Linked DNA regions of Arabidopsis thaliana. The protein of the gene in region 1 interacts with the protein of each later gene in a pairwise test. Each region holds a gene or a part of one and is shown in the gene's direction. Other genes may lie near its edges. The genes, in order: EDA3 and LTO1.

The links.
Region 2: the proteins of EDA3 (region 1) and LTO1 interact in a two-hybrid assay, tested with the Arabidopsis thaliana proteins (one study listed by BioGRID).

Annotation. Positions count from the first base shown.
Region 1 is NC_003071.7:14,704,350-14,711,754, forward strand, and holds EDA3 (DnaJ/Hsp40 cysteine-rich domain superfamily protein), read left to right. Parts: upstream 1-3,893; 5' UTR 3,894-4,030; coding exon 4,031-4,088; intron 4,089-4,168; coding exon 4,169-4,278; intron 4,279-4,652; coding exon 4,653-4,821; intron 4,822-5,141; coding exon 5,142-5,234; intron 5,235-5,324; coding exon 5,325-5,455; 3' UTR 5,456-5,459; exon of another isoform or gene 5,460-5,463; intron 5,464-5,581; 3' UTR 5,582-5,918; downstream 5,919-7,405. Other genes in the region: MEE25 (NAD(P)-binding Rossmann-fold superfamily protein), read right to left, coding at 443-687, 774-918, 996-1,125, 1,229-1,419; MEE26 (hydroxyproline-rich glycoprotein family protein), read left to right, coding at 6,470-6,820. UniProt on the Arabidopsis thaliana protein: Involved in female gametophyte development. Required for embryo sac development. Nuclear genome-encoded factor required for the accumulation of photosystem I (PSI) during plant development. Required for light acclimation and chloroplast development.
Region 2 is NC_003075.7:16,943,078-16,950,482, reverse strand, and holds the start of LTO1 (NAD(P)H dehydrogenase (quinone)s), read left to right. Parts: upstream 1-5,805; 5' UTR 5,806-5,860; coding exon 5,861-5,959; intron 5,960-6,035; coding exon 6,036-6,321; intron 6,322-6,601; coding exon 6,602-6,858; intron 6,859-6,954; coding exon 6,955-7,067; intron 7,068-7,217; coding exon 7,218-7,365; intron 7,366-7,405. Other genes in the region: STY17 (ACT-like protein tyrosine kinase family protein), read left to right, coding at 78-283, 357-471, 547-752, 914-968, 1,194-1,304, 1,526-1,576, 1,803-1,975, 2,056-2,163 and 7 more; SEN1 (Rhodanese/Cell cycle control phosphatase superfamily protein), read right to left, coding at 4,500-4,574, 4,655-4,708, 4,809-4,879, 4,970-5,166, 5,259-5,410. UniProt on the Arabidopsis thaliana protein: Thiol-disulfide oxidoreductase catalyzing disulfide bond formation of chloroplast proteins and involved in redox regulation and photosynthetic electron transport.

The DNA of each region.
Region 1 (7,405 bases):
ACCTCTCGCACTCTCAATTCCGTTTGTCATTTACTTAATTTCGAACCTAACCAATCCAGATCGTGTAACTCAACCCGAAACCTTGAGTGAATTCAACCGATCGTTTGAATCCAAACTAGAAATACCAAAACAAACAAAAGCTTCTCACTTGGAAATACTTCAATTTTTTTCCAACCAATGATTTTCACTTTTTACACAAAGAAGCGACATATGTCTTCCGTTAGGATTTTGATAAACCTCAATCACAATAAAATAGGTGATTGACATGGATGATATTTTATTAATCAATAATCTCATATATAATCTCTATATATGGATAAGATGAATACTATTCTACTAAGAATAAATCCATCTTCTTCTACTACCTTCACTACCATCTAGAATCAAGACTCTAATGAAGGAGTCCTTGAAGGGCAATGCTCACATACCTAATGCATAATGGTCAGTATGCAGAAACCAAGGAAGAAGATCCATAGCCACTGCGATGAAGCTTTTGCCATCTCCATGCCATCTTTAAACTTTCTTGAAGATTGGTGTGCTTAGCTGTCCAATTCAGCTCTTCTTTGATTTTTCTTGGATCGCTGTAAACCTCTGCGTAATCTCCTGCCCGTCTTTCCAAGTAATCGACTTTTATATCAACGCCGGTCGCCTTTTTGCACGCTTCCACAAACTCCTTCACCGAGCTACCTGCTTGCACAACAATTAATACCACATTCTCTGAAATCCATTCACTTCACTATCCTAGAATCTTTGCCAAACATCTAATTTTATACCTTTCCCGGTACCAACATTGAAGATACCAACTTTGCGGGGTTTCGCCTTTTCAAGAGCTTTAACATGAGCATCAACCAAGTCGGTGACATCAATGTAATCACGTACACAAGTCCCATCAACAGTCTTGTAGTCTGTTCCTTTAATCTGCAGATAAAAACCAAATAAACTTTTAACAGAGATTATATGTGGTGATTACGCACAAAAAAGAGCCTGGTAAATACCTGCAGCCCGGGAATGATGCCTCGTGCAGCATCAAAGCAAGCACCAGAGATCCGTCCATGCTCACTGAGTTCAGGTCTTGGAGCTTCACCTAGTCTACCCTCAGGATCAGACCCAATCACATTGAAATATCTGAAGAAAACCAATTTGAAGACAGAATGAACTCAACTTCAGGGCAAGAGAAAACAAACACAGAGGTCACACACACACACACATAACAGAATTAACTAACAACCTTAGGATCATAACTGCCATAATAGAATTCTTGGAGAAATCCAAGATGATATCTTCTGCCATCTTTTTAGCCTTTCCATATGGATTGATTGGAACCTGTGGAGTTTCCTCTGTTATTGGCATTTTCTCAGGCTCTCCATAAGTAGCACATGTGCTTGAATATATCAAAGTCTTCACACCATGAGCAGCCATTGTCTCTAAAACTACCAATGTGTTCGATGTGATATTGTGATAATACTTGCAAATGACAGAACACAAAATATTATTTACATCAATCTTACAGCAAAGGTTAAATCATTTTGAGAAGGAACAAAAATACTCACTTGAGAGGAAACTGTGTGCTTTCTCCAACATAAGCAACAGCAGCAAAATGCATCACAGCGTCAAATGCGTTTTCAGAAAATATTTTGTTAACCTGAAAGAATTTCTTATCAAGAAAACACACACAAAAAAGCTTGTCTGTGTGTTTATGGTGGTCTTATATCTAAAATCACAATGAAGGATCATACAGCATTTGCATCTCCAAGATCAGCATAAATGAATTGAAGCTTTCCAGGTTCCGGAAACAGTTGTTGCAAGATCTTGACTGCACCGAGGTTCCCTCGAGATAGATTGTCCTGCCAAAACATGAAAAGATTTACTTCTTTACTTAGATACAACACGAGAAGCATGAATCTATGTAAGGCAATGGAGATGTATGTATACCACAATGGTGACACGGTATGAATCTTTTAGAAGGCGTAAAGCTGCATGTGACCCGATATACCCTGCACCACCAGTGACTAGAACATGTGTAACTCCTGGTTCACTTCGAGAAAACTGAAAGATGAAGAAAACATTACTACTACAAAAATGAGACACTGTATCAATATCAAGTTAAGTACATATAAGAAGTAATACCACGCTTGGGGTATTGAAGGTTGGGGATTGGTTGAGCAAGAGAATGCACATTGCTGTAAGTGTCATGACCAAAACAATCTTCCCCATGTAATTGTTGTTCTTCTTTGGGTCTGCAAAATCCAATCCTACACTCCAAAAATCATCAACATGTGTGAAATTTTGAATCCAAATAAGAAACACAAGAAAAGCTTATGACTTTGGAGCTAACTAATAAGCCCCCAGAAAATCTAAAATCTCTATCAACTTACCAACCACTTCTAAACAAGTAAGCAAAATATTTCAGACAAATAAAAAAAAACAGTAGAAAAATCAGGTTTTATCATAAAAGTCTAAAAGATATTCCTGTGTGTACCTTCAAAAGACATAGATCTGTTTTGCCTCCCGGTTCTAGCTCTGCCTAAATTCAGCATTTTGATTCTGAAAGTACACGGCGTAGTCCAGTTTCAGCTGTAAGAGATTAACAACTCGAAATATTTAGAAAACTCGCACCTGCAAAAACCTCAGTAACTCCAGTTTGGGTGGGAACATGTAGGTCTTTCAAATAAAAATGAAAATGCAGAATTCACACCGACACAGAATTTCACAACAACAAAAAGGCCAAAGTTCAGCCTGTACATGAGGAAACAGAAGAAAACTGTAGAAAGCAAAAATGTTGTATAATCTGGACTTGACCAAGAATCTCTCTTCTATAGTAAGAAAGATTCGATCTCAATTCTAAGTGGAAAAGGTTAGAACGACTTACGTACAAAGGAGGAAAGTAAAGAGAGTGGTCTTGACGGTGAAAGCGAGCGAAGGGAACACGAGACACGAGACAAGAGAAGAGCTATAAAGTTGAATTAAATGATTACTTTATTGAGATTTTTAGACACAAGTAACGAATGAAATTGCAACAAGTATTATAAGGGACGCGGTGATTGGAACGAGGGAGCTCCGGCACCTGTGCGTACCGACGAACTCTCTGCTGCACATGTCGGCAAAAGTCTCTACGTGGCTTTTACTTTATGGCCAAAACTTGACTACCTCTTGACCAACATATTATAGTACAACAAAAATTTACGGAAAATATTAGTATAATGAATGATAAGCAAAACAAAATCTATTGTTTTTGGTTGTAATATTTGTAAATGATTTTTAGATAGTTCGATAATTTGCTAGTTATAATTAGAAAAATTTCGAATAGAGTTATAAAGAGTAGACCTTTTTGTATATAGTAATAAAAATAATTGGCTATAAACTATGTTGACTTCATAACATTACTACGTCTTCTTAAAAACAAAAACATGACTACATCTTGATCAAGAAAATTAAAGCAACCGACAGTTCCATGCACATTGACTTTACTAGATCTCGAGACCATTTATTCCTCAGTTGTATAGATTTGTTTATCTTTTTTGAATTTAATGTTAGAAAAAAAAGAAGAGAAATTGCTTTCATTGAGAGTTGAACTCAAGACCTCCTGCATACTATATATTTGTTTATCAAATATACATTCATTGATTAAACTAATTTCATATATCATAAAATTTGAATCGTACAAAGATCACCACAAGTCAGAAGACTAATAAAACACCACTAACCTGAACAAGCACATGTTCTTTGTATTAAAAATGTGAGAGAATAATTCATCATGAAAAAGTCATAATCAAAGTCAAAGCCTAACCCTTTTTAAGTCTTTTCGGGGCCGTCTTGGAGCAGGCCTAACAGGCTAGCGGCCTTTTAAGACTTACTCTACTACATTTAGAGGTCAAGTTATAATGGATCAAAAATTGAAATTGAAGAGAAAATGTACCAATCTAATAAACTAATCAAACTATGTGTACCAAAACGTAAATATCAGAAACATCCTATAGATGGTTCGGGTCCTCTGGTTCGCCAGTAAAATTATGACCGCAGACTGAAAAAAATGGCGGCATCATCATCTCATCTCTTCGCACTCCCTTCGCCTGCTTCTCCGTTTCTATGTAACATCTCTATCTCTCTATCTGTTCCTTTCCGACATTGTTTATATTATCCTCTTTCTTACCCGCATCGTTTCTGTTAGCTGCACCAAACCGGAATCGAGTTCGTGTTCTTGCGAAATCATGCCCGGAGAATCAGAGCTTCGACTCCAACGATTCGGATTCTTCCTCAGAGACTACCCACAAAGCCCAGGTTAATAATACAAGATGCCTTACATTCTTGTTGGTTCTGTGTGTTAAAGTCCGTATCTTTTTTCTTATTCCAAGCATTTGTATCAGCTGCAAAAGGTTTCTAATTGATCGTTTTGACTACTAATAGTTTACCTTGAAATCAGCTAGTTGATTGGTTATGTTCTCTAGTTAAGTAGCTATGCTAAGAAATTTTTTAAAGTCTTAGTCTTTAGTTCTTCTGCTACAAAAATTGGTACATCAACACTAGTATGTCTTTGTTACTCTTCAATGATCTAGTTGTAGTTCTCAGTGTATAGCTATCTATGCAACTGCTTTCATTAGTTCTTAGTCTTAATTTCTGCTGTCAACTTATGTGGCTTGTGTTCTTGGCTGCAGGGAGATCAGAAATCAGTGTCACGGAGACAGTGGATGACGGCATGTGTGTGCGCATCTGCAGCTTTAATTAGCAATTCTTATACCTTTGTCTCTGTACAAAGCGCAGCCGCTTTAGACAAGAAACCAGGAGGTTCATGTCGTAACTGCCAGGGCAGTGGTGCTGTTCTTTGTGAGTGACAAGTTCTTTTGTTTTAGTTTCTTATCTGGAACTCTGATATAGAAACATATCCTTAAACGTATATTGTATAGTATATTTGCCTTGTGTTTCTTTAGAATCTGTAGGGTCTTATAGCTTAAGATTGAAAGATATAAGACCTGATTGTGACTTTTAACAACAAACATATGGAACTCTTGATAATAGTTTTCGTAGACACCTTCCTATGTGAAAAGTTCGTAATGATTCTCTGTTTCCATTTGATATGATGCAAAATGCCTCATGAGCTTACTACTGATACCCATTTGGTTTAATTGGATTTTGTTATGATATAGGTGATATGTGTGGTGGTACAGGAAAATGGAAAGCTCTCAACCGAAAACGTGCGAAAGATGTATATGAGTTTACGGAATGTCCAAACTGTTACGGTTTGTTTCCTTCCCGATATCTCTTTAGTCTTGTTTGGTTTCGTAACACTTGAAATTTCCTGATTAGTTGGTGGCTTCTATTGCAAACAGGTCGAGGTAAGCTTGTTTGTCCGGTCTGTTTAGGTACAGGTTTACCAAACAACAAAGGCCTTCTTAGAAGGCCTGGTGCTCGTGAGCTACTCGAAAAGATGTACAATGGTCGGCTTCTTCCTGATTCATGAGAAGGTAGGTATAGGTCCTTTTTACTACAACTTCACATTTGAGATTATTGGGTTCACGAATTAAAAGCTTGGTGAGGACAAGCGTGTTCCTCTCTCTTATCTTTCCATCTCTTGAAATGGTTGCAGATTGTTACTGCAAATATGATTTTAAGCACAGAGCCAGTAGACATGATGATAGAAGCGGATGAAAACTTACACATTGAGGATGCATGGAAAGCTATAGAAGAATGTATCGAATTCAACATGTTTTTATAATGCTGCTAGGTTTGTGTTGTAAATTCTATAAACATAAAACTTTCCTTCTTCCCCATACAGACTAGACGAATCAGTTTCGACTAAGATACTCACTCACTCACCTATGCATTTAGGCATATAGAATCACACACTTTGATTATTCTCTTTAGACCTAACTACACACACATCTACTCAATCACACAACTATTTCATATTTCCTGGAACCATAATATTCCTTACATCAACATCATTTCATACTAAAAAGCAATCAGTCTAGTTGGACTAATACCGGTAAGCATAACAAATAAAGAGGATATAGTGAAATGTGAAGGTTAAGAAGAATATGTAAAGATGTAAACATACAGCTGGTTTCGAAATCATTAGTCGAATTCAATGAGCTCTAACCAAGCTGCATGAGAGACACATGTTCATGTGCATGCCTCTATATTTATTAGTATTTAACTAGTCAGTTTTCATGTTTCTCTTTTTGATATTTTTCAACTAATTTTCATGTTAAATGTACCAATGTTATATTGGAAATTATGCAACAGCCAACATGCGATACACATGCATTTGTTAAATCAGTTTACTTATTTTCGAGTTCGGTACATTCGATGTTATACAACTATTGGCACCAATTAATTGTGTTTGTAAATCAATAAGAAGTACGTTGGGTGTGAAAAAATAAATTAATGGAAATATAGGCCTATATATACTAACACTAGATAGTCACTAGACAACAGACACAAAAGCATATAAGCAAAAAATACAAAACAAATTATGGCTTCTTCATCACTCATCAGTGTAGCCCTAACCCTAATCTTGATCTTCCACCTCATGCCGGAAACAACCGTCGCTCGTCGTCTTACTGATCAGAAGCCGAGTGATGAAGTAGTCACCACCACTACCGACGAAGCTAACAACCTACCGTTTCCACCGGGCTTGCCATTTGGCGGTGTTCCTCCGTTACCGTCACTTTTTCCGCCGTTTGTACCTTCTCCGTTCCCTGGAAATATCCCACGTTTACCATTTCCGTTTCCGTTTCCGACATCACCTCCGGCGCCATCCCTTCCTGGTTTCCCTGGCTTTACGTTTCCTCCCCTGCCATTCCTCACACCGCCACCTCTGTGAACGTATACGTTAGCGCCGTTATAATGTTAGTTATCCCGTTGGAATAATCTCATGGTAATTTCGATAATCATCATGTGTACTCGATGATATAATACTGGTTTTTAATGAAAATTTTAATAAAGATATGTTGTGTACTTGTGTTTGTGTAAATGTAACACAATGTTGATCTAAGAAATAAAGGACCGATCGATTTGAGGATGTCAACATTGTATTTGAGAACGGCTCAAGTTGCATGTGTTGTTTTAAAAGTTTTATTTAATTCTAATTAATATTGTTTTTTTATATAGTTCATAAAGTTTAGAGAGATTGGAAACTAATTTATACAAACTTGAGGGAAAAGAGAGTTTTAAATCGTAGGTTTTCTAATCTTTAGAAAATTGTGTCCTTCCTAGTTTTTTAAAAATTTATTGCTTCTCTATTCTATTTTAATTTGAGTAGACAAAAACAAAGTGAAAACTTACGCAAAGGATTTGGAAAATGGTGTTTTAGAATTTGTTACATCATGCAACTTTCAAAGTCAAACATCATGCAACTTATGAGTATTTTGGAAAATGGTAGCAACAAATTACAGTTTGGTCATCAGAG
Region 2 (7,405 bases), on another chromosome or scaffold:
CGAAGAAGAGATCACTCCTACTGTTGAATTCTGGTTTTACTTGAGAGAGTTTTTCAATTCTGATCTGCTGTTTTGCGATGGCGATCAAAGAGGAGACGGAGGAGAGTTGCGGAAGCAGAGCCGTGGTAGCTTCAATAACGAAAGAAAGCCCTAGACAGCACCGTATGAAACTGGAGGTGTACGGTGAGGTTCTTCAACGAATCCAGGAATCCAATTACGAAGAAGCTAATTTCCCTGGTTTTGATGATCTCCTCTGGCTTCACTTCAATCGTCTTCCTGCTCGGTAATCTTTTTGGATCCTATGATAATAAATGTTTTCAAATTTGACTTCCTGCTGAAATGGATTTTGTGTATAGATATGCTTTGGATGTAAATGTTGAGAGAGCAGAAGATGTACTTACTCATCAGAGATTGTTGAAATTGGCTGAAGATCCTGCTACTAGACCTGTTTTCGAAGTTCGTTGTGTGCAGGTGTGATCATTTAACCATCTTCACCACTTTTTAATCTTGCTTGCTTGCTTCTTCATACTTCCACTTTTCTTACAGGTTTCTCCCACATTGAATGGAAATTCTGGTGACGTTGATCCTTCGGATCCTGCGGTCAATGAAGATGCTCAAAGCTCCTATAACTCGAGGTCTCTTGCACCTCCAACTTTTGGTTCTTCTCCGAATTTCGAAGCTCTTACTCAAGCTTACAAAGATCATGCTCAAGACGATGATAGTGCTGTCAATGCACAGTTGCCTAATTCTCGGTGAGATATATACTTTTGACACTTAACTTACTTGAGTCTTCTTGTCTGCATATACTTGAAGAGGCGTTCTTTGTAGCATGGTATCGTCTGTTTTGCAGGATTATTTGATTTAATTTTACAACCATGTGTGGTGATATTATCCTTTGTTGTCTATCTTATAGACCGATGCACGAAATCACCTTTTCTACAATCGACAGGCCGAAACTCCTTAGTCAGGTTGGTGATGTTGCTTCTTCCATTTCTTTTTATGTCAGCTCTGATATTGGAAACATGTGACTTTGTGTTCTTTTACAATTGCTTTTTCTCTTCGTTTGAGTAGAGTGATGTATAGGATTCCCTCTCTACTTTTAAGGATCCATTAGATACAGTCATGTAGAGAATGGGTGGTTATGTTTCTATTAAGCCATTATCTGACTGAGAATCGGTTTGTTTTCTTTCCAGCTAACTTCCATGCTTGGTGAACTTGGATTGAATATTCAAGAGGCTCATGCTTTCTCTACCGCCGATGGTTTCTCTCTCGATGTATTTGTTGTTGATGGCTGGTCGCAGGAGGTATAGTTTCAGTTTTCTGTATGGTTCACAACATCTTTCAGAACCATCATGTTACTTGTGACTGATGGATTAAGTAAACGACTTTGAAAGATTTTGACCATTGAGTAAATGACTTGTGACTTATGTAATAAGTAAATGACTTCGAAAGATATTGACCATTGATGACCTTTCTGCCCCTGCCATCTAAACTGGTTGCAACTTTATACACTTTTGAAATACAGGAAACAGAAGGTTTAAAAGATGCATTGAAGAAGGAGATAAGAAAGTTTAAGGTATCTTTTGTTAGTCTATTGTCATGAGCATTCCTTATCTTCATGAGATTCCTTATATTAGACTCCATGCCACATTCATAATTTAAATTCCGAAAGTGCAAGTAATGGTTTAGAATTAGCTCACTCCGAAACTGAATGCACCACTGTACTGATGTTTTTTTTGCTATGTTTTGAATCAATTTTGATAGTCGTCATGTCTCCATATTCCACACTGGCTGCTCTGCAGGATCAACCTTGTTCAAAACAGAAATCTATCACTTTCTTTGAGCATGACAAATCAACCAACGAGCTGCTACCTGCGTGTGTTGAAATACCTACGGATGGAACTGATGAGTGGGAAATTGACATGAAGCAGCTCAAAATTGAAAAAAAGGTGGCATGTGGATCATACGGGGAACTGTGAGTTTTCATATTCAAAAATCTTGTTTTTAATACTATATGAGGAAATTAACAGCTATATATTCTTAATGGCTATGCAGATTTAGAGGAACCTATTGTAGTCAGGAAGTAGCTATCAAAATTCTCAAGCCTGAGCGTGTTAATGCGGAAATGCTACGAGAGTTTTCTCAGGAAGTATATATAATGAGGTGTGCTGCAATTTGATTCTAATTGCAACTCGTACTCTTATAGTATATGTATTCTAATAAATCTCCAAAAATTCCATTTCATGGTGTATACGTAGAAACATGCATGAGTTTCCCTCATTTTCTAACAACCAGTGTCCATTGAACAAAGTTAATATTCAGAAACATCCACTACTGATACTTCCCTATTTGTAGGAAAGTTCGGCATAAAAATGTTGTCCAGTTCATTGGTGCATGTACACGATCACCAAACCTCTGCATTGTGACAGGTAAGTTGTCAGTAGATTATGAATAGGAGACTGGTTCCATCTAGATCGTTTTTTTTGTTGGTTTTGTATCTTCAAGCGTGGTGAGAAAGTTGTTTCAGCAGGACATTGAGGTTCTATAGAGTATTGTTTAGTAAATACCGTAACATTTCATTTCCTAGTTTTGGCCTTTACATGTATTCATGGTCGGATGATTTTATCCTTTTGTATCAGAGTTCATGACTCGGGGGAGCATTTATGATTTCCTTCACAAACACAAAGGGGTTTTTAAAATTCAATCTTTGCTCAAAGTGGCACTCGACGTCTCGAAAGGAATGAATTATCTGCATCAAAACAATATTATTCATAGAGACCTTAAGACTGCTAATCTTCTTATGGACGAACATGAAGTAAGTCTCAATCTTTGGCCACTGATCATGTAGTCTTTTCAGCTTGTAAACCTTTAAAATTCTACAAAAAACTTAATTTCCTCTTTCCGTCTCCACAAAATTCTTTTAATCTTCTTAGAACAGAGGTACATGTCTTTAATTTCTACATAATTTTGGACAGGTTGTCAAAGTTGCCGATTTTGGTGTTGCCAGAGTGCAGACTGAGTCAGGGGTTATGACAGCGGAAACAGGGACATACCGATGGATGGCTCCAGAGGTATTACTTCTTTGTCTTGTTCTTTTTTTTGACTTTCCATGCTTTTGACACTAGACTCTGTGAACCCAGGTCATTGAGCACAAACCTTATGATCACAGGGCAGATGTCTTCAGCTACGCGATTGTGCTGTGGGAACTTTTGACTGGGGAAGTAAGACTCCTAGTTTTCTCTCTCTGGATTTTAGTCGAAAGTTGCTAAACTCAGTAAATCTCATGTGTTTAACACACTTTTTTTTCTTACTGGTGTATAATGAATGAAAACAGCTCCCATATTCTTACTTGACTCCACTGCAAGCTGCTGTTGGCGTTGTCCAAAAGGTATCATGTCTATAGGACTTTATAGTTATTTTTCTCGTGCTTTGATTAACGGCCTTCAACACAATGACTTGTAATTAATTTACAGGGACTTAGACCAAAAATTCCAAAGGAAACACACCCAAAACTGACTGAACTTCTTGAGAAATGCTGGCAGCAAGACCCAGCTCTAAGACCCAATTTTGCAGAAATCATAGAAATGCTTAACCAACTAATCCGCGAGGTAATTGATTTATCATTGCATCTCTCTCTCTAACCAACACGATTCTTAGCATTAATATGTTTTGAAACCACCAGGTTGGAGATGATGAGCGCCACAAGGATAAACATGGTGGTTACTTTTCAGGCCTAAAAAAAGGCCATCGTTGACTCTCTCGGGTGCGCTGAAAAATTTGGTTTGATCGGTTTGATAGAGCTCTACTCACTTCTCGTTTTTTCGTTGTACAGTTTCTTAGAGCCTCACTCTTTTTGTCCATGTATAATTTTCTTAAAAAACAATCTCCTTTTGATACAATTATCACTGCAGAGATTGATTTGGATTGCAACTCAATAAAGTGAAAGCCATTCTTTTGAAGCCATTCTTAAGAGCGGCTACGGATTTCTTTGTTAATCAAAGCAAGTAATCATATTAACTGATCGTAAACGATTCAGATACAGAAACACCTGTGTTGAGATTGATATTAGTTTTCATAATATTAGTTTCGGTTCCTTTCGGTTTGATCTTGTCCATGTATAAATATGTTTTTCTATCATTTTATAAATTTAACACTTAAACTTAAAGAATAATAATTTAAAACCAATTTAAAACTTAAATTTTAAGAAAGTAATTAATAATTTTTAACTAAAATAATGTTAATTTCACTATTATCATTTAAAAATTAGTTTAAGTATTAAAATTTTAAAACGGCGAAAACTAAACGTGTGTAGGCATGCATCCCCGTCCTTAATTGGTCCGTAAACTTTGTGGTGTTCGAAGTTCGGTAAAGCTTTCACCCAATATAGATTTGACAGTTAAACTATGTTTTAGAGAATAATAATGATGATTGATACTTGCGTTGAGAACATCTACAGAATTTATTGATAATTACAGGAGGTGATATGGCTATGATTGTTTTCACTCTTCTACCGGCAGCTCATTCTCTGTCCAAGCGACGTATCCTCCAGCAATGTCTGTGATCGCCGTGAAGCCCTGTACATGTGGCGACATTAAACCCGCTTGTCCTAAACCGGATAACGGCTATATAAATTGAAGTGATATTACACACATACAGCAGTGAGAAGATCAGTTGAGGCCATAAATGACATTTGACCGCTCTCACAACCCTGCAGAAGTAGTTTATTACGTGCATCAGAGATTTTGTGAAACAAGGGATTGTCTTCATAGGGGTTTATTTAGTCTCTGAATGTCAAAACTGAAACTTACGATTATGATTTCATCGTGTTTCCTGAAGTGGGACGAGACCTGTCTTAGAAAACTCGGGTTCTTAACCATTCCTGCAACGGTTTTGGCTTGGTGTTAGTTTTAAGTTGTTTTTCATTTTCACTCTTTCTCATAAGAGGAACCTTAAGGTCGGTGATGAAAACCTGATCCGACTCTGTACATGTAAGGTACGTTGATGGCTCTAGTCGGATGTCCGATGCTGAATTCGTCTGGTGTCCTCACGTCGAGATAGCGGTATCCTGCTTGAGCTAGCTCACGCGCCACTCTTACTGGTACTGACGTAGGAATTTTAACTGCCTCTGCTGCAACATTTCCTCTGCTTGTTGTCGTTGCTTTCCTCCTTGAGCAAGAAGTTAATACTCAGATTTAATATTTATTCATAATCTAAAATCAGATAGAGAAGGCGATTCTCGTCGTTGATTGCTAGCTTACCATCGGAAGTTTGAGTTTCGAAGATCAGCTACAATAACACCTCTTCGTGTTGGTAATTGGCACTTGAAAGATCCACATGTTTGTAGAGGTGGAGAAATAGCCGATGACCAGTTTCCAATTCGTGATGTTGTGTTAAAAGCAGTGGTTTCCATTTTCACTTCTTCTTTGAAACTTCTTTTAGAATGCTTTGATGCTACTTAGATACTTCTTCTCTTAGTTCTATAGCGTTTATATAATACATACAGACACAAAGGTATGGGTGTCACGTCAGCAAGTTTTATGTCCGATCTTCGAGTCTCTATCATTTCTATGGATAAATTCAATTATGTACCAAAGTCGATTCCAAAATGTAAACAATGCGTAGATAATGAATCATGATAAGTCCAACTCGGTGCCTCGTGAGTCGTGTTGAAGAGGATAACTTGCTGACTCGGACGGATAAGAAGACCGTAAGGCCCAATTGTGATAAACTAATTATGGATCCAAATTATCGTATTTGGGCCTCGTTTAGGCCCAATATTGAAACAAGTGGCTGAGATAGTGGAGCGGAGGAGAGAAGATGATGAAGTTAACAATGGTGGAATAGCGATTCTTCGACGACGATGATGGCGAGGTTTGTTTCTGTGTCGTCTTGTCAGTTTCATTTCGGCTTCCGTGAGGTTTCTCCTCCGTCGGTAACTTCTTATCCTAGACGATTCGAGGTAAATTCTTGTCATGTGTTTTCTTCAGTGACAGTAGTGTGTGATCGGTCATTTGAAGTCAGATGTTCTGAATTAGGTCTCTGATCGGAGATTTCCTGCGATTCCGATTAAATGTTCTTCATCTGAGCCGGAAAACGGTGAGGATTCGGCACCGTCGCTGTCTTCCTCCTCCTCATCGTCTACAAGTGAAGTATCTACTAGTAACAGTTCGACATACAACTGGTACACCGGAATCGGCGGTATTGGGATGTTAGACACTGCGTATTTGACTTACCTCAAGGTCACTGGCTCCGATGCGTTTTGCCCTATTGGTGGTGGCACTTGCGGTGATGTCCTCAACAGCGATTATGCCGTCGTTTTCGGTATTATCCATCGCTTTATTGATTATAGCGTTTGATTTATGTAGCTAATTGTCCTCTCTTTTATAGTAGGCATGATTAAATACTCGCATGTGATAGTCTCTGTGAATCTTTGCTTGAAGCTATATCATTTAGGAGCTTTGGTACTTAGTATGCATAGAATTGTTAGAGTTAAATAGCATGCTTCACTCCACTCTATGTAGTGCTTTGTCTTCGTTGTTTGTCCAACATTGCATTGCAGGTAAGTTGAACTCAATGAAAATCCTTTTTTACATTTTGCCAGGTGTTCCTCTTCCAGTGATTGGATTTGTTATGTATGGCGTAGTAACCGCTCTAAGTGCAGAGCTTGGGGAAGGGAATCTACCTTTTGGAATCAGTAAGAGCAATGGGCGTTTCGCGTTATTTGGGATCACGACTGCAATGGCATCTGCTAGTGCATATTTCCTGTATATCCTTAGCACAAAACTCTCAGGATCATCATGCCTGTATTGTCTGGTGTCTGCTTTCTTATCATTTAGTCTATTTTTCCTCTCTGTAAAGGTATCCCTTTATTTCCATTTCTTTTTTTTTCCTGATGTTGACTCAAGATAACTTCTAAACTTCGGATTATGATAATGTGCTCCATGCATGTGGTAGGATGTGAAGTTGCAAGAAATACAGCAAGTTGTAGGATTGCAGATATGCTTAGCAATCATAGTAGTTGCCTCCTTGACTGCTTCTTACAGTACTGCTCAACCAATCCCTTCACGGTAATCAAAGTTCATAGTTTTCTTTGGGGAGTCCCGATAGAAATTTTAGTCATTTGTAACGAGTAGTGAACAAATAGCTTCCGAAAGATGTATGAGTCTTATCAGGTGGTCTCTTTTAATCCCGATCGTTTTTTGTTTCACTCCTTCCAGCTCTGGTGACATTGAACTGCCATATTTTAGAACAGAGATCAGTTCATCATCGAGCCCTTATGCTATTGCTTTAGCAAAACATCTAAACTCCATTGGAGCTAAAATGTATGGGGCATTCTGGTGTTCTCACTGCTTAGAGCAAAAAGAGGTAGTTAGTTCATTCATCACCTGTTTGCCAAGAATCAGTT